Mus musculus: one gene and its partners. The protein of the gene in region 1 binds, or shares a complex with, the protein of each later gene. Links are inferred from orthologs where the notes say so. Each region holds a gene or a part of one and is shown on either strand. Other genes may lie near its edges. The genes, in order: Cask, Lin7a, Lin7c, Lin7b and Dlg1. A codon is read from its position in the direction of its gene.

What was found.
Region 2: Cask (region 1) and Lin7a share a complex: the UniProt entries of both Homo sapiens proteins name them as parts of the brain-specific heterotrimeric complex. The link is inferred for Mus musculus from reciprocal best matches to the Homo sapiens genes CASK and LIN7A.
Region 3: Cask (region 1) and Lin7c share a complex: the UniProt entries of both Homo sapiens proteins name them as parts of the brain-specific heterotrimeric complex. The link is inferred for Mus musculus from reciprocal best matches to the Homo sapiens genes CASK and LIN7C.
Region 4: the proteins of Cask (region 1) and Lin7b are in contact, whole or in part, in an NMR structure (PDB 1Y74), measured with the Mus musculus proteins. Residues at the interface, in NP_001271432.1 of Mus musculus: Ala405, Arg408, Ala409, Glu411, Val412, Glu415, Ile416, Tyr419, Glu421, Asn422, Asp424, Ala425, Glu427, Leu428, Ile431, Leu432, Gln434, Phe437, Ala439, Leu440, Leu441, Thr443, His444, Val447, Ala448; in NP_035828.1 of Mus musculus: Leu10 (codon at 2,774), Asp13 (codon at 2,765), Val14 (codon at 2,486), Arg16 (codon at 2,480), Ala17 (codon at 2,477), Leu20 (codon at 2,468), Leu21 (codon at 2,465), Arg23 (codon at 2,459), Leu24 (codon at 2,456), Ser27 (codon at 2,447), Glu29 (codon at 2,441), Leu30 (codon at 2,438), Pro31 (codon at 2,435), Pro32 (codon at 2,432), Lys34 (codon at 2,426), Leu35 (codon at 2,423), Ala37 (codon at 2,417), Leu38 (codon at 2,414), Val41 (codon at 2,405), Leu42 (codon at 2,402), Ser44 (codon at 2,396), Phe46 (codon at 2,390), Cys47 (codon at 2,387), Ile50 (codon at 2,378), Arg51 (codon at 2,375), Tyr54 (codon at 2,226).
Region 5: the proteins of Cask (region 1) and Dlg1 are in contact, whole or in part, in an NMR structure (PDB 1RSO), measured with the Rattus norvegicus proteins. The link is inferred for Mus musculus from reciprocal best matches to the Homo sapiens genes CASK and DLG1. Residues at the interface, in XP_038955489.1 of Rattus norvegicus: Gly339, Ala342, Ala343, Arg345, Ala346, Val347, Gln349, Val350, Ser353, Leu354, Glu356, Ile357, Leu360, Thr361, Asp367, Leu368, Phe370, Leu371, Ser373, Val374, Phe375, Asp377, His379, Leu380, Thr382, Leu383, Leu384, Asp385, Leu386, Tyr387; in NP_036920.2 of Rattus norvegicus: Arg4, Asp7, Thr8, Arg10, Ala11, Leu12, Leu14, Leu15, Tyr18, Lys21, Leu22, Glu26, Asp27, Leu30, Ser33, Ile34, Arg36, Val37, Ser39, Ile40, Phe41, Ser43, Leu45, Phe46, Leu49, Ile50, Gln53, Glu57, Val58, Leu60.

Annotation. Positions count from the first base shown.
Region 1 is NC_000086.7:13,843,753-13,848,050, forward strand, and holds the start of Cask (peripheral plasma membrane protein CASK), read right to left. Parts: upstream 2,805-4,298; 5' UTR 2,315-2,804; coding exon 2,256-2,314; intron 1-2,255. UniProt on the Homo sapiens protein: Multidomain scaffolding Mg(2+)-independent protein kinase that catalyzes the phosphotransfer from ATP to proteins such as NRXN1, and plays a role in synaptic transmembrane protein anchoring and ion channel trafficking.
Region 2 is NC_000076.6:107,270,481-107,274,635, reverse strand, and holds the start of Lin7a (protein lin-7 homolog A), read right to left. Parts: upstream 2,806-4,155; 5' UTR 2,776-2,805; coding exon 2,694-2,775; intron 2,243-2,693; exon of another isoform or gene 1,372-2,242; intron 1-1,371. UniProt on the Homo sapiens protein: Plays a role in establishing and maintaining the asymmetric distribution of channels and receptors at the plasma membrane of polarized cells.
Region 3 is NC_000068.7:109,889,498-109,893,679, reverse strand, and holds the start of Lin7c (protein lin-7 homolog C), read right to left. Parts: upstream 2,803-4,182; 5' UTR 2,796-2,802; coding exon 2,759-2,795; intron 1-2,758. UniProt on the Homo sapiens protein: Plays a role in establishing and maintaining the asymmetric distribution of channels and receptors at the plasma membrane of polarized cells.
Region 4 is NC_000073.6:45,367,758-45,371,699, forward strand, and holds Lin7b (protein lin-7 homolog B), read right to left. Parts: upstream 2,808-3,942; 5' UTR 2,802-2,807; coding exon 2,765-2,801; intron 2,489-2,764; coding exon 2,370-2,488; intron 2,230-2,369; coding exon 2,158-2,229; intron 1,594-2,157; coding exon 1,384-1,593; intron 711-1,383; coding exon 547-710; intron 242-546; coding exon 220-241; 3' UTR 134-219; downstream 1-133. UniProt on the Homo sapiens protein: Plays a role in establishing and maintaining the asymmetric distribution of channels and receptors at the plasma membrane of polarized cells.
Region 5 is NC_000082.6:31,662,133-31,666,242, reverse strand, and holds the start of Dlg1 (disks large homolog 1), read right to left. Parts: upstream 2,801-4,110; 5' UTR 2,755-2,800; intron 2,309-2,754; exon of another isoform or gene 1,922-2,308; intron 1,423-1,921; 5' UTR 1,392-1,422; coding exon 1,373-1,391; intron 669-1,372; coding exon 537-668; intron 1-536. UniProt on the Homo sapiens protein: Essential multidomain scaffolding protein required for normal development. Recruits channels, receptors and signaling molecules to discrete plasma membrane domains in polarized cells.

The DNA of each region.
Region 1 (4,298 bases):
GCTTGCTCTTCCTCCTTCTGCAGCTGCAGAACAGAATGGATAAACTTAATTCTACTAGGGGTGTCTTCTGAAAATATTTTCTCAATTTTAAGTCAGCACAACACAGACTACTAACATGAAGCTGACCACGTTTGAAATCTACACTGTCATCCTTTCAGACCTGAAGAAATCAGAACCAATCACCAAAATTGATTCAATGATAGCTATTTCCATCACCACAATATCTGCAAGCAGCTTAATCCCACATTTTCTAATTATCAACTTCAGGCTCACAACAGCTACAACTAAGATACAACAAGTATCCCTCACTCTCATAGCCATTTGTGTGGTTTTTGAGAAACATCGAATTTCTCTTTTTTGTGTCCTCACAACAATGAAGAAATGAAGGAGATTTTTGAATTTTTTTCTCTCTAAAATTGTGGCAGTAGGCTGTGGATATTAAGCACTTGAAATATGACTAATTGAACTGAGGCATTTTGCATTCTGCTTACTTGATTAAAATTTAGAAATAGTAAATTCAGTTAGTGGAAAACTTTTATGTACGTTTGGAACAACTTGAATATGTGAATCTATTTTTTTTTTTGCACATGCAAATTTTATGAAACCTAAATACAGATCAAATACTTCTGGTAAAAAATTAGCTTAGCGTCAAAATTGAGATGTTCTGTTAGTGTAAAATATACATTGCATTTCAATGGTTTAGTAGGAAAAGATATACAGTATGGCAAAATTTTTTCATGCTGAAATCACTAATTATATATAATGTATTACATAAATATTTTACGAAAATTGCACCTTTTTGTTTGAAATCTTTCTAAAGTGCCTACTAGAAAATGACAAATTACACGTGGCTCTCATTAAATAGCTTTTGAACAGCGCTGCTCTGAGCACATCCACAAAGACTGTACCAGACACATTTGGACATCCTCCTCTTAACAGATAGGCTGGTCACTGAACAATGGGGCAAGGAGCATTTGGGTCTAAGAAAAGAGTGTAGCAAGCTCTACCCACAATTTCACCATGTGAGCCGTATTGTAATATCTCAACATGGAGGAAAAAAAATCAGTTACCCGTACTCAAAAAATTGAAACTGAGTATAGTGCAGACAACTTAAAAGAGCTAGAGCCAAATGCTGTCTTGGTTTCATTTCCCAACTGCGGACCTTAAAATAGACAATAAAGCACCGCTTCCAAAACGAAGTAAAATATTCTAATACTAGCCATCTAACGAGCCCTATTAAATAAGCAAAAATCGCTCTTAAATCTGATCTCAACTTCCAAAGCCAGAGAATACACGCTGAACTAGGAAATCAACTTCAGATTGCCAGCATTTCCCTCACAAGCAAATTAGCAGGATTGTGCACTTGGAATACTGTTTGACAAGAATGAAAAGGAAACAATTCAAAACAGATTTCAGGACTGGACAATTAGATGAGGAACTGCAGATTTAATTCTCAATCAGGACTGTGATTAATCTGATTCCCTGCTTTTCCCTAGTGTAATTATACAACACAGATGAAAGGATGAGCATTTGGACTGTCAGTTCTATATTCTAGACCAGCCCGGTGACTCAAAGCAGACGGCTCTACCACGCTAACCACCATCCCAACAACAGTGGAAGGGAGCCTCGAGCACTGATTGTACAGTCATTGCATAACGAGGCATTAAAAATTTGGGTGCCCCCAACTCTTTCTATGTTTGTCTATGGCAGGTGAAGAATTTGCTGAAACTGGACGCATCCGTCTTCAATGACCCTCTTAAATCCGGGCATGGGGTGAACACAAAGGCATCTGTCTAATATCCTGGCACAATAGACACACACCCCACAATTAAAAACCCCGGACGCGCTCTCTCGCTCTCTCCACACAAGCTCATGAAATGCAGGCTGCTCTTTTCGTGAAAGGTCTATGGTACAGGAAAGGTAACAAAAACCCCAACTGTTCCCAGGAAGCAACTACAAAATCGGTCCTGCCACGTCCCTGTGTAACCGTCAGATAAAATGCAGGGAGCCCGCCCCACGCCTTATGGGGTGGCCGACCGGGGCTCGGTGGCCTCCACGCATTACTAAGAAGCCCCCAGACCCATTCCTGGCAGGAAACCCAGGTACACGTCTAAAAATTCTCCAGGGTGAAGAGAACGAGGGAGGCAGAGGGGAGGGAGAGAGGGCAGGGGGCAGGCCCGGAACGGGTGCGGGAGGCCCCGGGCATCGCTGAAAAGCATTTTTCCACACTCCCGCTCCCTCGCGTGGAGACTCACTTGCCGATCACCTCGCATAGCTCGTACACATCCTCGAACAGCACGTCGTCGTCGGCCATGGTCCGAAGGGGACAGCGGCCGCAGCGTGGAGGGTTCTGAAAACTGGGTTGGGGGCGCCCAAGAGCTCAGTGCCCGGCTCCGGGCTCGTGTCCTCCACTCAGGACCCGCAAGCCCTCGGTGCTGAGGAAGCTCGACTGGGGCCGTGAGGCCCGGAGACTGCAGCGCCTTTCCTCTGCCGGCTGCCGCCCCGGCGCGGGCGGCGGGGCCGGGGCGTGGGAGCGAGGGCGGCCCGGGCCCGGCGCCGCCCGCCCGCCCGCTGCTCCTCGCGCGGTGGCTGGCGACCGCGCTGCCGGGGCGTGCGGACCCTCGGGGACCGCGAAGCGCCGCACTCTCCGCTCGTCAGCCCGCGCGGGCCGCGAGGCCGCGACCGCTCCCTCTGCCCGAGACCGGCTCCGGCGCGGCGCGGGGCAGCTCGGGCTACAGGGGGGGCCGCGGCAGCACCATGGAGGGAGGATCGTCGCGAAGGGAGGTGGTGGCGGCTGATCCGCGCTGGGGACCAGGAGGCGGCGGCAGAGACGCTCCCTCCTCCTTCTCCTCCTCCTCCCGCCGCCGCCGCCCTCCCGAGTGTGGGAGGGGGCTTCGCGGGATGAGCGTTCAGTGCGGGCGGGAGCCGCGACCGCTGCCTTCAGCTCCTCCCCTCAGCCTCAGCAGCCGCCAGGCTCCCGAGCCCGAGCACCCGCCTGGCGCGGACTAACCCTCCTCCCTTTCGGCCCGCACGGCAGCGAGACCCGCAGGCCCCGCCCCTCCAGCCCGTTGGGAGGCGTGGACCGCGGAAGGAGGCGGAGGAAGGGAGGGGGAAAAAAAAAAAGCGCTCCCAGTGGCGCCTGCGCGCAGCGCCCGCAACGTCACGAAGAACCGGCGGGCGCGGGGAATCTAGAGGGCGCTGGGGGTCGGCTAGCGGAGCTGCCCGGGTTGCGGGTTGCAGCTGCTGAGGTGGGGCTGGTGGAGGTCGTCGCCTCTACTCCCAAGCTGCGACCAAGTGGAGAAGAGGGGCGAGGGACAAAAGGTCCATAGCAGTCTGCACGTTCTTAGACGGCGTGCTCAGCACTCTGGCAGCTTTCCCTCTTCTTTCGTAATCTCAGAAAGCCGTTCCCCAGGTTTTTGCTGGGGGAGGGGGGAAACGCAGAGAAAAGGTTCTAATGAATGAAAAAGCCTGAAAGGAGGTGGAGAAAGATTGTCACTCAAGACCGTGTTTGGCGGCGGTGGATGCTTTTAGTGCCACCTTGCCATTCCTTAATGAAGATGAGGGCTGGGGGAGGGGGAGAATTGTCCAAGGAAAGGACGGAACAAAAACTGCAGAGGAAGGTGTACAACAAGAACAGTGAACTAGCGAAACAGCTTCGCCTGCCACCCGCTCCAAACTAACCAATATCTATGCAGTTTCTATTGCTGCTAGACAAAACCTAGAGACGGACCAGGAAAAGAGTGTCGTAAAGAGACTTTAAATCCATTGAATATTGTTCCTCAGCACCAGCATCTGCTTTGTTCACTCCCTATAAGTGTTGGAGTTCTTAGCATAAAAAAATGTCACTAGAAGGAATGGACGCACAGGGTCAGCCGCGGAGTAAGGCTGTGGGTGTTGCCGCTGTGCTAGGTTGTATGCAATATGAAGATTTCTGTTCAACTGAGCATGTGCAGAATGAGCCAACGCCACCAGACAGGTATATGCCTTAGTTGAAGACCAATAAAAAAAGAAGTCTTTGTTCCTCCTCATAGCAGAAGTGTCCAATTAGTTCATAAGTCAGCTCTCCAGAAATCATCTGTTAAAATTCTCAGCGCGGTATTTTTTAAACTAGTATTTACCAAAGTGCAGGGGGCAGGGTGAAGATAAAGCCCATTTCCTTTAAACAAAACAAAACAAAACAAAAAACAAAACGATCTGTACAAACCCTTAATCACTCCCTCGAGAGCCTGGCTGATTTGCTTGCTAAATATTTGGGAGCTAAACCTTCTTTCCTTTTCATTTCTTTCTTGCAAATCAGG
Region 2 (4,155 bases), on another chromosome or scaffold:
CCTTAGGCCCGAGATGCCACATTCCCTTTAATCCCAGCACTCAGGAGGCAAAGGCAGGCAGATCTCTGAGTTCAAGGCCAGCCTGGTCTACAAAGCAAGTCCCAGGACAGCAAGGACTACATAAAGAAACCCAGTCTTGCTAAACAGGTGTGGCTGGTAGAGATCCACCAAGTGAATCTGGGAACGGTTCATAGCCACCGCCTTACGTGCTCCTTTCTAGCATCCTTGCTAGCTCTGCAGGGCCATAACCTCATAACTGTACCCCAGTTCCGTATGAAATCTGTATAACAAACAGTTCTCCATTTACTCCAGCTTCAGTTCACTATCACTAGTCTACATTGACTTTATACTCCATCACAAGTCAGGGATGATGAGAAATTCAAAGATGGGTTAAGAAATGGCTTCGTCCCTCAAGGAGCTTTACACATTGGGGGAGACTAAAGGAAAGAAGGATTGTAAATTATAAAGGCTTTGATGGAGCCAAAAGCTTTTGAGTGAGCAAATTTAGAGTGTATAACATGGGCCACCAACGTATCAAATGGCACTCTGGAAACTTGGAGTGACCCAAAATCGCCAGTAGGTGGCCAAACGCTGAGCCCTAAGTTGGGTTAACCGAATTACAGGCTGCTAACACTGCACATCTTCACAATTATCAGACCTTCATGTCCTAATGCCCAACCAAACCAGGACAAAGCTTAGAATCACATATTCCATCAACCTAATAAAATTACTTAACTTGGTGTACTATCATAGTGAATTAGAGGGAAGATAACTTCACGGACTTCTTACACACAGAGCACTTAAAGCCAGTGGTTCAATAATTCAGATGTTCCCATAGATAACCTGACTGGGCTTCCTTTGTTACTTACTCTACAGATCTAATCACAGAAGGACAGGTACCCTCTGAATATAAACAAGAACACACTTTAAATCTTGGTCTTCTCTAGATAGCTGACTGGGGTGTCCAAGGGCTAAGATAAACTTCCCCAAAGTGGACTAGTTGCATTGCTAATAGTAGTGGTGGGATGTAAATTTGCTTGAGTATGTTGTCTTCTTGGAGTGTTTGCATCTAACATAGTTAGAACTTGGGTTGTTTAATATAGTTAAACTTGGGGTGTTTAATGACTGTAATTCAGTAATGGGACAATAGAAGAGCTCATCACATTAAAACAGAAATAACTTGGGAAACCCATCGTTTTTAATAGCCTGCCATCTGTTTGGCTCTTACCAGCAATGGATTTATCCTGCTTAGTACAGATGATATTGGGACTAAAATCATAGATTATACGACGGACTTCTGAGCTCTTTACTCTTATTAATCTGTAAACGAACATTTCCCAACATAAAAATCAATTATTTTTCAACTCTTACCCTAAGTAAGGTTGCTATGGGCACCGCATAATATCCGTTCTGGCACCAACAGATTGAGTTAAAGTCACCAGAGATCTCTCCACATTAAGAACCTCAAATACAGTTTACCAGCTTTGCCACTGTGCTCGCTGTACGATGCTCTTTTTGCTTTGCTGGGCCGCTAGTTTAATCCTCCAGAAAGAGAAATTTTAGAGGGACAAGGACTAAATCATTTTCTTCTGAGCACAGCATTTTCAAATGACTGCACCGGGTCCTAAGCCCCGCCGCTGCGGACCCAGAGCTAGAGGTGCCCTCTCTCTGCAGAGCTGGGGACTCTGGAGCCCTAATAACTAACTGGACCTGGTGAGGCAGAAAGGAAACTCCCATCCACCGCCAGGTACTACTCGGGTGCACTCAGCAGGGCCCGATCCTAGAGAAAGGTTTGGAAAGGTTTGGAAAGGTTTGAGCAAAAGCTCTTTCCGTTTCAGCCAAAGAGTAGGACGCACAGGTCACAGGCTAGAAGTTAAACAGTTACCCAGCCTGCGCTTTGTCTCCGCGCCTTCTGCAGCCCAGGCACTGAGGTACACTTGACTGGTGAAGAACAAGGTTTGCTGGAGCAGGAGACAGGAGTTGCTACCTCCCTGGAACTGCAGGCTGAGGGAGTACCAAGACCAGAGCCGCAGCTCCGAGCGGGAAGCTGGAGCCAAGCCGGCTCGGCTCCGGATGCGGTGTCCCTGAGCCAGCGAAGGTTGCCCGAGCTCTGCTCTGCCCTTTCGCCCGAGGGCAGCGCCCTAGCCAGGCAGTCCCGCGGCTTTGCACCCAGCTTCCCAGCCAAGCGCCCTGCCGCCCTGGGGCGATCTCCCAGTCACAACAGCTGCACAGACCCCTCATCTCCAGCGCGGGGACAAACTTCCTCCCTTCGGGTCCCCGCGCCGGCAGTTGGCAGCTAGCTTCCCCACTGGTCCCTTAGCAAGCTCTGGCTGGGAGAGCTTTCTCTGCCCCTCTTCAACCTCCAGTCACCAGCGCTCAGCGGTCCCGGCGCATCCTCTCCAACAAAGCCGGGGCCCGGAGGCGACCCGGCGAGGGACCGAGACTGTCAGCTGAAACATTCGAGCCCTGGCAAGCACCTACGCCCCGGAGAGCGCAGCAAGAAGGGGCAGCGGGGACCAGGAGAGGAGAGAGGGGAAGAAAGTGTCCTGCTCCGGGCGCGAAACCCTCCTGGGCTGATCCTCCTCCCCCAGCTGCCCCTGCCCGAGCGCATCCTGCCTTCCCTGTGGGACTGGGCAGGGCGGAGGGCGAAGCGGTGCGGACTGTGTGGCCTGACGGACCAGCCGCTCCCTTACCTCTGTCCAGAGTAAGCGGCTGGACCACTGTCAATGTCGCCATGTCTGCCGTGGGAGCCGAAGTGACGCTCGGCTTCAGCATCAGCAACCGCTTGTAGTGAGAAAAAGAGGAGGAGATTGGGGGCGGGGGTGGAGAGGGAAGACGGAAAGGAGGGGGAGGAGGGGGAGGCAGGAAGGTGGTGATGGAGGAGAAGAAAGCTCGGGTGGGTTGGTAGCCAGATGGAGACTCAACTGTTCCGCCGCGGCGAATCTTCAGTGCGGCGCCAAGCAGGGCAGGTAGCCGCGAGCGCCTGCCTGGCCAAGGAGCTGAGAAAGGAACGCTCAGCCCTAGAACTTTGCTCGCCCACCCGTCAGTAGCTCTGGGTGGCTGTAGCAGGTTTGCTGTCTTTCAACTTTCCACCTAAGCATAATGGTCAGAATGCACTCGAACCCAGAAGAAGAGGACTCAGAAACGGGAGAGAGACAGACAGGGGTAGAGAGGTGGGGGGACAGAATTCTTTTCAGATTAAGAAAAAATTTCAACCTCCCTTTCCACATCCCTTTCCAGAGGAAACGCCACTAGCCGTGGGAGATGTTGCTATATCATTGTAGTTGCTGTTAATTTCTGTTGAAGCTTTTTGTTTAGAACGTCCACTCTCAACAGCACAAGGTAACCGACTGAGGGCCAGGCAGGGTTCTGTTAAGTCAGTGTTCGTTTAGGACCTGGGTACATTGCCTAGGAAAATGACTTGCCTTTACAAGCAAACTTCCTTAAAAGGTTCTGAAATAAAAAACGAGTTGCTGTCAGTGAACAGTATTTATCAGGGACCCTCTCCTGTTAATCTGGAAGAAACTTGTATTCAGAGGTGCTATTTATTAATTAGCATGCATGACAAGAGTTGAGCCACGGATGTTTGGTGCCATTTGCTACATCTTAACCTGGGGATTCACTTTTGTTTTCTTTCTCTGCATCCTCCGAATTACAGGTAGATAATGTGAAAGGCCTTATTTCTGAGTCAGTAGATCACAGTTCAGTTCCTGGAGCCTTCAAATACTGACTATGAGCCTTAATCCCAACTTTCACTAAATGTTCACCAAGCCTCATTTCCTTATCAAACCATGAAGAAACATGGAGAAAGATCCTCTGGGCTTTACCGAGATTGGTGGACACAGAGCTGAGATGGCGATGCTGCCCTCCCTGTGACAGCTAAATCATCCTTGTGACCCAGAGACCCTCAGAGGTAGACCCACTGGGTTGCAGAGTATTTGCGTATGACCAAATGCTACGTTCTTCTAATGAGACTAAGAGGTGAGAAAGCTCAGAAATTCAGCAGGAATTGAAAAGTCAAAGATGACTGACCATCTAACTATGCAACAGATCATTGGATACATGCTGAACGTAGTCTTTCAATGTAGTCATCTTCTAAGAGTTTTAAGTTTAAGAACTTTAACCATGAAATTCAACTTTTCACAGCTCCCAGGA
Region 3 (4,182 bases), on another chromosome or scaffold:
TAATTTTAAGAAATATTAAGCCGGCCAGTGGTGACGCACACCTTTAATCCCAGCACTTGAGAGGCAGAAGCAGGCGGATTTCAGAGTTTGAGGCCAGCCTGGTCTACAGAGTGAGTTCCAGGACAGCCAGGGCTATACAGAGAAATATTAAAGTATTAGGGGCCAAAGACATAGTTCAGCACTTCCTGAATCCTAGCACCCACTTGGTCATCTCACAATTACCTAAACCTCCACGGACCTGACACCCTCTTCTGCCACGCCCCTCTCCAAAGTCTCCCAACATATACAACTTAAAAAGAAAAAAATATGAAAGAGCTACAAACACACACACACACACAGACACATTTAGCATATTAGATAACTGTCATTGGGAATGTAAAAAATGTGAACAAAGAACTTTAGAAAACTCAACTTCATGTTATAACACTATTAATCACAATCTCTGTTCTGAGTTTTTTCCTAAGGTTTTTCTGAACCCCAGCCTCAGTATATTCTTATTGCTAATTAAGTAGCAGTAAATTCTAATTAAATTTAATTAAGTAAGTTTGAATTGTGCTCATTTGGCTCCAAAGGTTAGGATACCTTAGAGTCTATATAAGTCTATATACTATCCTATATATTCTGATCCTTGCATACTTTGACTTAACTAGAGGAAAGTTTTGATTTCATGCCACGTTAAAAACCGGACATTTAGCCGGGCGTGGTGGCGCACACCTTTAATCCCGCAACAACAACAACTACAACAACAACAACAACAACAAAATACCAGGCATTTACTTCACAGAATTAGTTAGGACTTTGCATTTGTTTATGAAAAAGTCCAAATAAACTTAGTAGAGAAGCAAAAAGTTGATTCAGTTTTAGATAATAAAAGTTTAAACTGCTATTAATCAGTTAATCAAACAGACCAGCTTTGCTCTGATGTCCCACCACCAGAATGGCTAGTAAATGTTGTTTCAGCAGTTGTTGATTTACAGTCACAATACATTATCCACATTAAAATCCTACATATACAGCTGGGAAAACGGCTCAGTGGCAGAGTGCTCACCTAATATGTACAAGGCTCTCAACTCAATACAACATGGTGGGAAGAAGGAAAAGAGGAGATAGGAGAGGGTAGAGAGAAGGGAGACACTTAGAAATGAGTTAAACACTCTATACCAAATATATGCTCATTAAGTTTGTGCACCAGTGAATTGTGCTTTGATGATTTTGAAGCAAACAGGAACTTGGTCATATGTACTGGTATTTTGCTGTGGAATTGTACTGTGGAACTTTTGAGAATATGCTAGGTCTGTTAGAATTCTTGATCAGAATCGGACTTGACACCAACTGCCTTGCTTATCCTGCTAACTGGCAAAAACCAACTAGGACTTCATTCCTACCAATATTTTGAGCTTTCTACTGTTTAACTGAAAAACTTCCTAACAGCAAAAAGCAGATGTCAGAGGGAAAAGGTCCACATTTTGTGCTTCATTTAAAGATACAAAAGAACGCCATCTTGTTTGAAACTTGCAACTCTTCTGGTTAACACCAACAGATTTGTTCCTGTGTAACAATGTGTTCAAAGCACATTGACACCGTAGTACTTGAGGGGAAAATGACACAGCTGTAAGCCTACCTTATTCTTTCCCAAGCTACCCTGTCACAAACAAGTTCATTTATTTAAAAAGAAACAAAAGGCTCCCATGGTCACTACAATAAAAAGCAAAACGAATCATAATCAGCACAGTGTGTGAGGAAAGAGGTTCTATTACATACACAAATTTTATAAAATGATTTCCTTCTTGGACGATATTGAGATTATAATTGTGAATACTAAATATATGCAATGTCAAACTCCATCCCAGGCGATGTTTGCCAACAGCACTCGAAATGCTTAACTGGTACTTTCTGGTTACTATGACTACCGAATTGTACAAAGCTTGTTCCAGTTGTCTGAAATTTAAGTTGGGGCAGAACAGAGTACAATACTGGAAAGCTGCAACTGGACCCTGGGAGAGTCTTTTCACAGGCTTCTCTTCAATCGGGTTGGTTTTTCTTGGCTGTTTGCTCTAAGAAGCAATCAACCAACCAGGTTTCCAAGTGTAGGGTTTATGAGTATGGAATTGCATGGCACTTAAAAGTGACTTACAATCAAATCACTACTCCACCTAGTTATGTAATCTCCTTCCCAAGATCAAGTCAGTTGGAGGGTTTTTTTTTTGTTTGTTTTTTGTTTTTGTTTTTGTAAGCATCCTCTCCGTGGCTGGAGGGGTGCGAAAGTTAGGAAAGAGCAACTCAAAGCCCGGAGGCTGTGGTCACAGTACTGAAGGAGTCTGAGTTTTAAATGGGGGCGAGGGAGTTTCTGCGGGAATGTGTCTGTGTCGGCCAAGTGGCAGAACCAGGCCAAGAGGCCACACTGATCTGTTCGCGCACACTGACCGTAGACAGTGCCGGGCTGCGTGGTGGCCTCGGCTTTTAGGGTCTATGAAGCTGAAAGCCGATGCTGCGGTGCGGACCCAGGGAGCGCCCGTGCCTACAGCCGTGGGCAGGCCGCTGAGCCGTGCTGTGCCCGCCGCCAGCCTCAACGGCCGGCTCTGGCGAGCTTTCAAACGCCAGCCAGCGCCCCCCGCGAGCAGCGCCCGGCGCCGAGGCCGCCGAGGGCTTCCGGGGCTCAGCGTCCGGGTCACCTTGCCTCCGCTCCGGCCCGCAGGCAGAGCGGTTCGTAGTCTCGACCCGCCCCACCCACCGCGGCCGCGACCCCCGCCGCACTCACCCCTTTCCAGCCGGACAGGTTCGCCCAGCGCCGCCATCTTCTCTTCGGAGGTGCAGACCCACAGGAAGTGACGACAGAGGGGCCGCGGTGGACCAGGCCGAGAAAGCGGAAGGGCGAGGATGGTAGTAACGCGAGAGCTAGAAGGATGCGGGTAACTACGCAGAGCGGTAGCCGGGGACGCTTTGCGACCGACGGGTGGCCTCCTTTCGTGGGTCTGTGCTCGTCCACTTCCAACAACCTGAGGTTGAAAAGAACCGATGTCCCGAGTGTCCCCTGCCTCGGGGAAGTCAGGACCTTAGTTCCGGCCCTTACCCGACCGACGGCAGCCTCTGACCGTCTAGGCTGGTTTCCCCATGTCCGAGTCCTCTTATAAATTCTTAATATCCTAGCTTGATCTAATTTAAAAAATTTACAATTCGAATTTTATCTAAAACTCTCTTTGAGCAGAAAGGTGGGAAAAAAAACAACCGGGAGAGAACGCTTTGGTATACACGAAGTATTGTTTTTAGTTAGCCGATTCAAAATCTGCTTGTGAATGAAGGATGAAGCATAGATTTTGTTTTATGGGTACATTTTGTAATTTGTAAGAATTTTTATATTAATGGGTGTTTTGCCCTTATGTATATCTGCACCATTTACAAACCTGAGGCCACAAGAGGGCATCTATTCCCCTGGAACTGGAGTTACAGATGGTTGAGACCTGCCCTGTGGGTGTTGGGAATCTAACCCCAGGACCCCTGGAAAAGGAGCCAGTACTCCTAACAGCACTGTCTGTCATCTCCAGATCCTCATAGGGCCACTCTTGAAGACTTGGTGGACCCAAATATTTTTAGTCACTAATTTCAATGAAATAATTTTTGTGAAACTTGGATTTGGGTAGCAAAGATCATAGTCCAGTGTTAAGTTTGTAACACCTGCACGACAGGATTGTTTTAATAGCTGGTTGCAGGTGACCCATTCTTTCCGTTGAACTGCAGTTTTCTACATGTTGTTATTAGGTAGTTGAATCCCACCACTGGGCAGTAGCCTTCAAGCTTCCTCATGCTCCATACAAATGACACAGGTTTTCTTGGCTGACAGGAGCTATTCTTATGAGCTGGGGTTACACATTACTTACTTTTCCAGAGACTCGAATCTGCAGACTTGTACAAGCTACACAAATCTGAGCTTTATCTCTATCTTCTGCTCCTTTGGAGTAGTCTTTTTCCATGTCTTTGATGATAAACACACAAAAAATCCCAGAATTCCAGGCTTACGCAGAAGACCATAAAAGTTTCCAGAGAATAAAAGGTCACCTTCTAAGGACTAGAAATTGAAACAGGATGCACTTTCTTTCCTTAACACAGCTGGAAGGACTCTGCAAGCTATAAAACTGTTACAGAAAATTGAATAATTCTCAAACTAGAATTCCCTCCTTGTTTTCT
Region 4 (3,942 bases), on another chromosome or scaffold:
CCTTCAGAGCTGCGCGAGCGTTGTCTATCATGGTACACAGACTGGAATGAGCTTGTTCTTAACCTCAGCTTCACTGTCCTCCTCCCCCACAGAGACTATTCCAGGATGCGCGACAGACACACAAGACACTCGGTGAGGGTTAAAGATCTTTAAATAAGGAGCCAGTGACAATAAATAATACTGTACAGGGGAGGAGAAGGAGGGTCCTGGTCTGTGATTTCAGCCTCGAGACTCCAAGGACCTGTGAGGGTGTAGAGAGGGGAGTTTTAGACACAGGGTAGGTTCAGGGGTGGGGTGGGGGAGGGCGCGTAAGATGTTCAATGGTGGGGTTCTGGAGACAACAGTTCAGAAAATCAGGCACAGGGCTTCTGGAGTTGGGGAGCCAGAGGGTCCCAGGGCCTTAGCTACCATGGCAGGAGTCAAAGGTCAGAAAACCCCTGGTGGAGAGCCAGAGATAAATGTTGAAGGCCGCTGTGCTCACTGGCCTGATTTGGGTATCTAAGGTTGGGGAAGGCAGCAGGGAGAGGATGGTGACTGGAGGCTCACGTGTAGCTGTGGTGCTGCTGGCGCCGACGGGCAGATCGCATCTTCTCGAAGCGGGCTTCCATCTCCTCCAGCACCCGAGGAGTGTAGCGCACCACCAGTTTCACTGAGCCCTGTGCAGCCTTCAGGAGTTCCACCGCCTTTTCATGGTGTTCGCCTTCCACACTCTGCAGGGCAGGCCTCGCACAGACTGCTGGCCCAAACCGCTGCCCTTACCACCCTACCCAGGACATGGGACCAGTGGATAGTGACACGGCTGCTGGGGTCAAGTCTCCAAGGCCTCATATCCCTCTAGTGGATCACCAACTTTAGGCACAGCACCCACAACCTAAAAACTGCATGTCAAGATAGCTTTGAGTCCCAGTGTCCTCAATGAACCAGGCCACTGAACCTGTCCCAAAAAAGTCTGTCTACACCCCCTAAGCTTATTGATCTCCTGCCCTCACTGCCCAGGGCCAGAAGCCGGGCTTTTCTGGAGAGACGACCTCCTCGGTGGTGTTTCCTTGGATTCTAATCACTGGGGTTTCAGGATGCTGACTGGCCCAGACATCAGGCAGAGCCAGCCTTTCTCCTCATCTCAGGGACCATCTCTGTTCCGAGCCAGAACCACCCCTCCACATCTTAGTTCAGAGAAGTACCCAACCTTCAACCTCCAAGCCAAATATTCCTCCTGAAAACAACTGCCATCTTCTACACTGGGCTGCTATCCTAGCTAGGCTCTCTGAAGTCCTTGAGGGTCAGCAGTGTACCCCACAGTGCTGTCTCCAAAGGCTGTGTTCCCTGTGTAGAGGGAATGTGACCGTCCAGGGCTGCCTTACGGACACTACCAACCCCACTCACCACACCATTCACAGACAGCAGCTGGTCTCCCCTCTTGAGGCCACCATGGCGATCAGCCACGCCCCCAGGGATGACTCGAGAGATATAGATGGGTGAGTTCTGCTCCTTGCCACCCATGATGTTGAAGCCCAAACCCTCATCAGTCTTCGGTAGTTCCACGACCCTGGGATGTGCGTGGCCCTCACTGGCCGTGAAAGCAGCCACTGTGGCCTGGAAGAGAGAAGACGCCTCAATGAGAGAGACCCTCTTTGAGACATGGGCACTCCAGCCAGCGTAGCCGCAAAGATCAAGTAGGGGAACCCTGACACAGCTCAACAGGAGGCTACCCTATACTGACTCCGACCTGTGAGAACCCTTGCTTTCTTCCGAAAGTCAGGGAGAAGGGCATCCTTAGTACTTAACACCTGCCAATCTTGTTCTCAGACAAATGGAAACAAGTGCCCCCCCCACCTCGGGGGTGGGGTGGGGTGATAGGGATCAGGTGTAAATCTTGAGTCTGCAGGCAGTAATAAGTAATAAGCACTGCAGTTTGGAAAGGTGTCCCTGTTCACAACATCCAACAGGATTGCCTTTTAGGGTCATCTTACCGACAGGAAAGTGAGGCCAGTTTCCAAGCCTGTTGCTAGAGAGAATCTCATGTGCATTCAAGTTAAAAATGTGCAGTTATTTAAAGGGCATTATAAATAAATCTTCATAGGGTGGCACAGAGATGCGCTGATGTGAAGGAGGGCACTGCTTTCGTGGTCACCCAGAGCTACCGGAGCAGGAGCTTACCTTAGCTGTGGCATGAGCCCGCACCTCGGCGCTGCCAGTGATGTCCAGCGTGTCATAGAGCTGTTCATACACCTGGGAAGTCGGGGACACGGCAACGTCAGAGAGCTGCCAGTCCACAGCCCTGGACACCGGTGTCCTCGTCCGCTCGCCCGTCGCCGACCCCGCCGCAGAGTGCAAGGAAACTACAACTTATACAGAACCAAGATGCTCACCTCGCGGATGGCGGAGCAGAAGCGACTCTGCAGGACCCGCTGCAGGGCCTGCAGCTTCTGCGGGGGCAGCTCTCCGCTGCGCTGCAGCCGCTCCAGCAGCTCCACAGCCCGGGACACGTCTGCAGAAAGCGGCAGGGACCGCGAGAGCATACGCCGGCAGCAAGAAGGGCAATCGAGGTCAGACTGGAAGCGATCCACGTGCCTCGCGGGTCGCGGGGACCCCAACCCTGGGCGAGGTGTTGGTGGGGCGCTCCGCCCCAGACCCTCCCACGCCCTCAGACTGCAGGCCGCGCCCCGCCCACCCTAACTAGGTCCGCCCCCCAACCCCCGCATCTGCAAAGCCTGTCGCAACCCAACGGAGCCCAGAGCCCGGACTGGACCCTCGGAGCGCTTACCCCGCTCCAGCCCCAGCGGCTCCACCAGTGCAGCCATATCGCCTCTAATGCAAGCCACCCGCCCAGGCGCCAGCGAGGAGGTGCAATGCGAGGCCCCGCCCACCAGGTGCTGGCAAGGAGGTGGTGCATGAGGCCCTGCCCACACGGCAACCAACAGTTTCAGAGGGCCTGCCCTCACACTGACAGGAGGCGGTGCTGCGCAGGGTCCCGCCCACTCCGGAACTCTAGAGACCTTCCCCCTCTGGGTGTCTCGCTCCTACATCACTATCTGCTGCCCATCATAGGTCTATCCTAGCCGCGATCTTGTTACTCCGTTGGTGTGTCTGCCTTGCTCTTTACAGTATGTCTGTGCTTTTCTGGTAACTTCCCCTCATTTCTACAGAGGGGCGTGGGTTCTCAGGACTCCAGGGGCCTATAGAAGAGGATCGCTGTGACTTGGAAGACAGAAACACCTAACAAGAGCCTATTTCAAGAAAGCAGAAAAATAAAAGCTGAAGGGGTAACTCAGTCGAAGAGTGCTAACCTTGCAGGCTGAGATTCTAGGTCCTGCACCCTGCAGAGCATAAATCATACCTGTAATCCCAGCATTCAGAAGTGGAGGCAGGGTGATCGGAACAGTGCCCAAGGTCACCCTCAGTTACACTGAAGTCTTGTGGCTAGCCAAGTCTACGTAAGACTGACAAAACATACACACAGAGCCCGGTGGTCCACGTCTTTAATCTCAGCACTTCCAAGGTCAGTGATTTCCATAGTGAGACCCTGTCTAGACTAACCTAGACTCACACACTGAAAGAGAGGGGGGGGAGGGGAGGGGAGGGGAGAGAGGAGGAGAGGAGAGAGAAACTTGAATAAGACCTTTATAGTTTAGAGATGCTTGGAAGATAAAGTCAACAAGTTGTATGACCTGGGTCACCCCAGCAGCCACCCAGAGAGTAGCCAAGAGGCTAGGCAGTGGTGACGGCAAAACAGTGGTCTTGTGTTATAATTTGCATTTGGATCTGTGTCTCCATATAAACCCCTGAGAGTGTACAAGATGGTCAAATACCTATCTGAAGATCTCCAGGGAGACTGGATTTCAGAAGGGGCAGAAGGGCAGATAAGGCCCTGGAGACTGGTCCACTAACGTGGAGTGCTGCCTGTTTGGGTGAGAGGTGGAGTGGGGAGCACTGAGGTGGACA
Region 5 (4,110 bases), on another chromosome or scaffold:
AGGAATACTAGAATAAGGTAATTAGACAGCATCATCTCTGAGATCATGTTTCAGGTCTAAAATTCATATTCCACAAATGGCAACTCTAACAGAGGGTGTGTGTGTGTGTGTGTGTGTGTGTGTGTGTGTGTCAGAGAGGCAAATGCTCTCAAGCACAGCAGCAGAGCCTTTCAAATATTTCCAAGGATTCCAGAGAAACACACGCCAACTACAAAAACACCAACAGTAGTTCAGTTGTCACGACTGGTGTCCTAAAACATTTCTACAACTTGTCCATATTCCAGCTGTTAACTCTAAGACATGAAACTGTGCTCTCAAAGTGCACAGAAATCACCAGACCAGAAGTTTTTCTGATAATTAAACATTTTTAGAAGTGACAGTGGCCTAACTGCAAAATAAAAAATCACTAGAGATGTCCTAAGTTAAGGACCATCTAGAGAGCCAAACACATTGTCTTTCAAATTCTAAGTTTAACATAACAGAGAAGCATCAGGCACTAGTACAGTGGTCAAGAGTAGAAAAGTTTTAACTCCCACCTATTAAAGCCTGAAAGAGGTTGCTCTGAAATATGTTAATAACCCGCTCTATGGAACTTCTGAGTTGTCTGTCTTCAGTTTGGCTTAGTTTCGATCGATATTCTTCCAACAGATGCAATGCTCTCTGGGTATCTGAAAAGACAAATACGGTGAAAATTTCATGTATATATTAAGGCTCTGTGTGTATCTGCATACATATTTACATGAGAGTGCTACACGCTACCTCTACAAGACATCTATAAGTTCCCCTGAGCCTCCAAGGCAAGGGCTGCCATCACTATATCCATATTCCATTCCCTACTAAGACAAATATTTTAAAGGCTTTATATCACAGCAGAGAAAGGAGAAAGTGAGTAGCCTGTGTTAGCTGTGGACTGACAGCTTCCAAGACTAAAAGACCGTCTAACTAAACTGATAGCAACTTGGTTTTTAGAATGCCTAACAGACAAGAACAAGTTATCTACAATTTGTTCCTATAACCAAAACGTGTTTCAAAACATTAATTCCTAGTTGCTCACAGAGTTGCTCACAAAATAGTGTTGATATGAGTGATAAAGTGAAATACTGAAGCAATGAAGTTTTGAAAAAGACATGGTAGGGGGCAGATTGCTTCTGTTGATTGCTTCTGTAATGACTACAGATGTCAAGAAGGTGTGTGCAACCAACTAGATGTTTCCACCTTCTGAAATGATGGGAAGCTCTGATACCATAAGGAATAAAAGCGAGAGCCTGCTGATTCCTCAAAGTCACACAAACCTTTTAAAAACAGTAACCACAACACTGATGTATGTTACAGCAAGTGACAGCCACAAAACAGTTCCAAAATAAATTCTCACCTTGCTTCCGGACCGGCATTTTTCTCCAGAATCAGGAAGGCGGCACACACCTTTACAAACACAAAACAGGAAGGAAAACTTGAACTAATGCAATGAACTGAATCGTGGATCCATTCGTTGCCCCCGCCCCACCCCACTTCACCCCACCCTACCCGACCCCATCCCCCGCCCCAAACTCTCGACTAGGGAAAAACTCCAACCTTGGTGGAACTGCCCACCTTCCAAAGTTTTCCCAAGTGGAAAAAAAGCAGAAGCCTCAAACCCCCAGCAGTGTCAGCCAAAGCGGAAAGCGAGTTCTCGGGGGTCGCTATGCCCCCTACAGATTAAGATCAGACCCAAGCCCGCTTCGGTAGGTGCCTCCAGAGCTCCCCCCTCCGCAAAGAGCACCTGAAGAGGAGAAGCCCGGCCGCCGCGGCCGCCGCCGCCGCCAAGGCGTGCTTGCCACGCTCCCCACCTGCTGCCGCGGGCCGGCCCGTGCCCAGCCGCGCAGCGCCCAGCCGAGCGCCCGGCTGCTCCCCCGGCCCGCTCGGGCCCCCTCCTCTCGCTTGCCTGGTTCCTCGTTCGTCTCCTCCCGGCGGCGACTCCAGCAGGGGCCGGACCGGACAGCCGCCGCTCTCCGCGCCGCTCATGCACCCCCCTCCGCGGCCTCCACACCTGCGGCTCCGCCGCAAAGTTCCCGCGAGCGGCGTACGCGGGCGCCCCGGGTGCGCTCCGGCCGGACTCGGAGCAGCTTCCCCGCCCGGCCCCGCTCCACGTACCCCGCCCCGCCCCGAGCTCAGCTGAGGGGGTGAGGGGACGGGGGAGGAGCTCCCCCTTCGGCGGCCGCACCCCCGCGCCGCTCTCTCCGCCTCGGCCGCCGCCGCTCGCCCGCTCGCCGCGGCCCGCGGCCCCTGCTCGTCCGCTCGCCTCCGGGCCGCCCCACCCCCGGAACCTCGCCTCCTTCCGCGCCCCCAGTCGCTCTCCCCCTAAACTTTCCGCCAAGATGGCGGCCCTGGAGCTGGCCTGCCGCGCGCCCACGTGACTGCTTTCCCCGACGCTCTCAGCCAATGAGAAGTGAGGAGGCGGCTCGCTCCGAGCCCCGGGCTCCGGGCGCTGCTACCGGGGTTGGAGAAGGGAGGAGGGCCGGGAGGAGGGCGGGGAGGGGGCTGGAGTACTGGAAGGAGGACCCTTAAGCATCCACAGGGAAGCGCCTTGCGGAGAGGAGCTCCGGTGGAAGCGGCTCTGGGGACAAAGGAGTTGACACGCGCTCTACAGGTGGCCCGAAGTGGCTTTGGGACAGCAAGCCTGCACGTTGCCCTAGCCCACCTCCGGTGGCCTGCGGTTCTGAACTAGCGCGCCGGACTCGAGTTGCTGGAGACTTTGAAAGAGAGAAGTGACCTCACCTGCGCTAGATCCCAAGAAACAAGCTCAAGACACCCCTCACCTCACTGAACACGTGCTGGCCAACTTCAAGAAAGGAAGAGTGCCTGGCACGCCCGGGGTGGATCCCCAACAGGGAAAAAGGAATTTGTGCGGAGCTGCGCACCAGTCACCCGCGTTAAGGGGCGGAGGAAGAAGGGACTTAGGAGGGGAAGGGGTATTGTATGTCTTCCACTTTTTGCTGGTTTTTAAATTATTCGTTTGTCCAGAAAAACAAAAAAAAAAAAAAAAAAAAAGGTTTGAGGAGTTTCATTAAGGACCGGATGTAAAGCGGAGACGGATTAGTTTGCTAAACGTTTGAGGGTTTCAGAGGATTTTTAGGTCTAAGTGGTTAACTCCTAGTACGAGCCGTTTAAACAAGTGAAAAGTTCAGTCGTTAATATTTCATTCATTCATGCCTGCATTCATTTGTGCGTTCATGAATGTGTCCCCGCCCAGAGATGCTCCCAGGAGTTACCCATCTTATGGCGGTCCCTTTAAGAAACTCACCTGTCTACCCCAGCGGTGGTGGCACAGGACTTTAATCCCAGAAAGGCTAAGTAAGGCTAATCTTTGTGAGTTCGAGGCCATCCAGAACAGTGAGTTCCAGAACAGCTAGGACTACACAGAGAAGAAACCCTGTCTCAGGTGGAAAACAAAGAAAGCAAGCCTCTCGCTGCCAGCCCTCACACCTAGTTTAAATTTCAAGCACCTCACAGCCCAACAAACAGTCCCAAGGGACACTTGCTCTAGAACTGAGCCTGAAGGGGAAAGTTCTCCAAGTCACTGACTCGAGCTGCTTTTGAGCAGCAGGAACTTCTCTGCTCCATAGCCCAGGAGAATTTTTCCAAAGTCGTCAGAAGTTCTTGAAGCAGAACCAGAAATGCAGAGATCCATGTGTGTCAAACCGTAAGGCTGGATCTGCTTGGATCCAGCTTGAAGATGATTCGCTTGGTTAAGGTTCTTGCCTATGAGCCTGATAACCTGAATTCCATCCCTGGGTCCCACATGGTGGAAGGAGAGAGCCTCCTGTTTGTCCTTTAACCTCCATGCACAGACACATTTAAAATCAATCTACCGGTACTTGTGTTTTAATTAAAGGGGGAGAAAGATGAGGGGTTTTTTGGTTTTTCAATAAACCTGACAGGCCTTTTCTGTGTCCTTGACAATGGAAAAGTCAGAGAAGAACCTTGCACGATAGCCATAACCCAAGTATGCTGATGACTGGGTTTCACTTTTGGCTTGTACCTTAGAATCCTAACTTGTGAGAACCTTAGGACTTTAGAGCTCAGGTAGATCTACCTCCTTTCAGAAAGTGAAAGAAAAACGTTCCCCGTGAT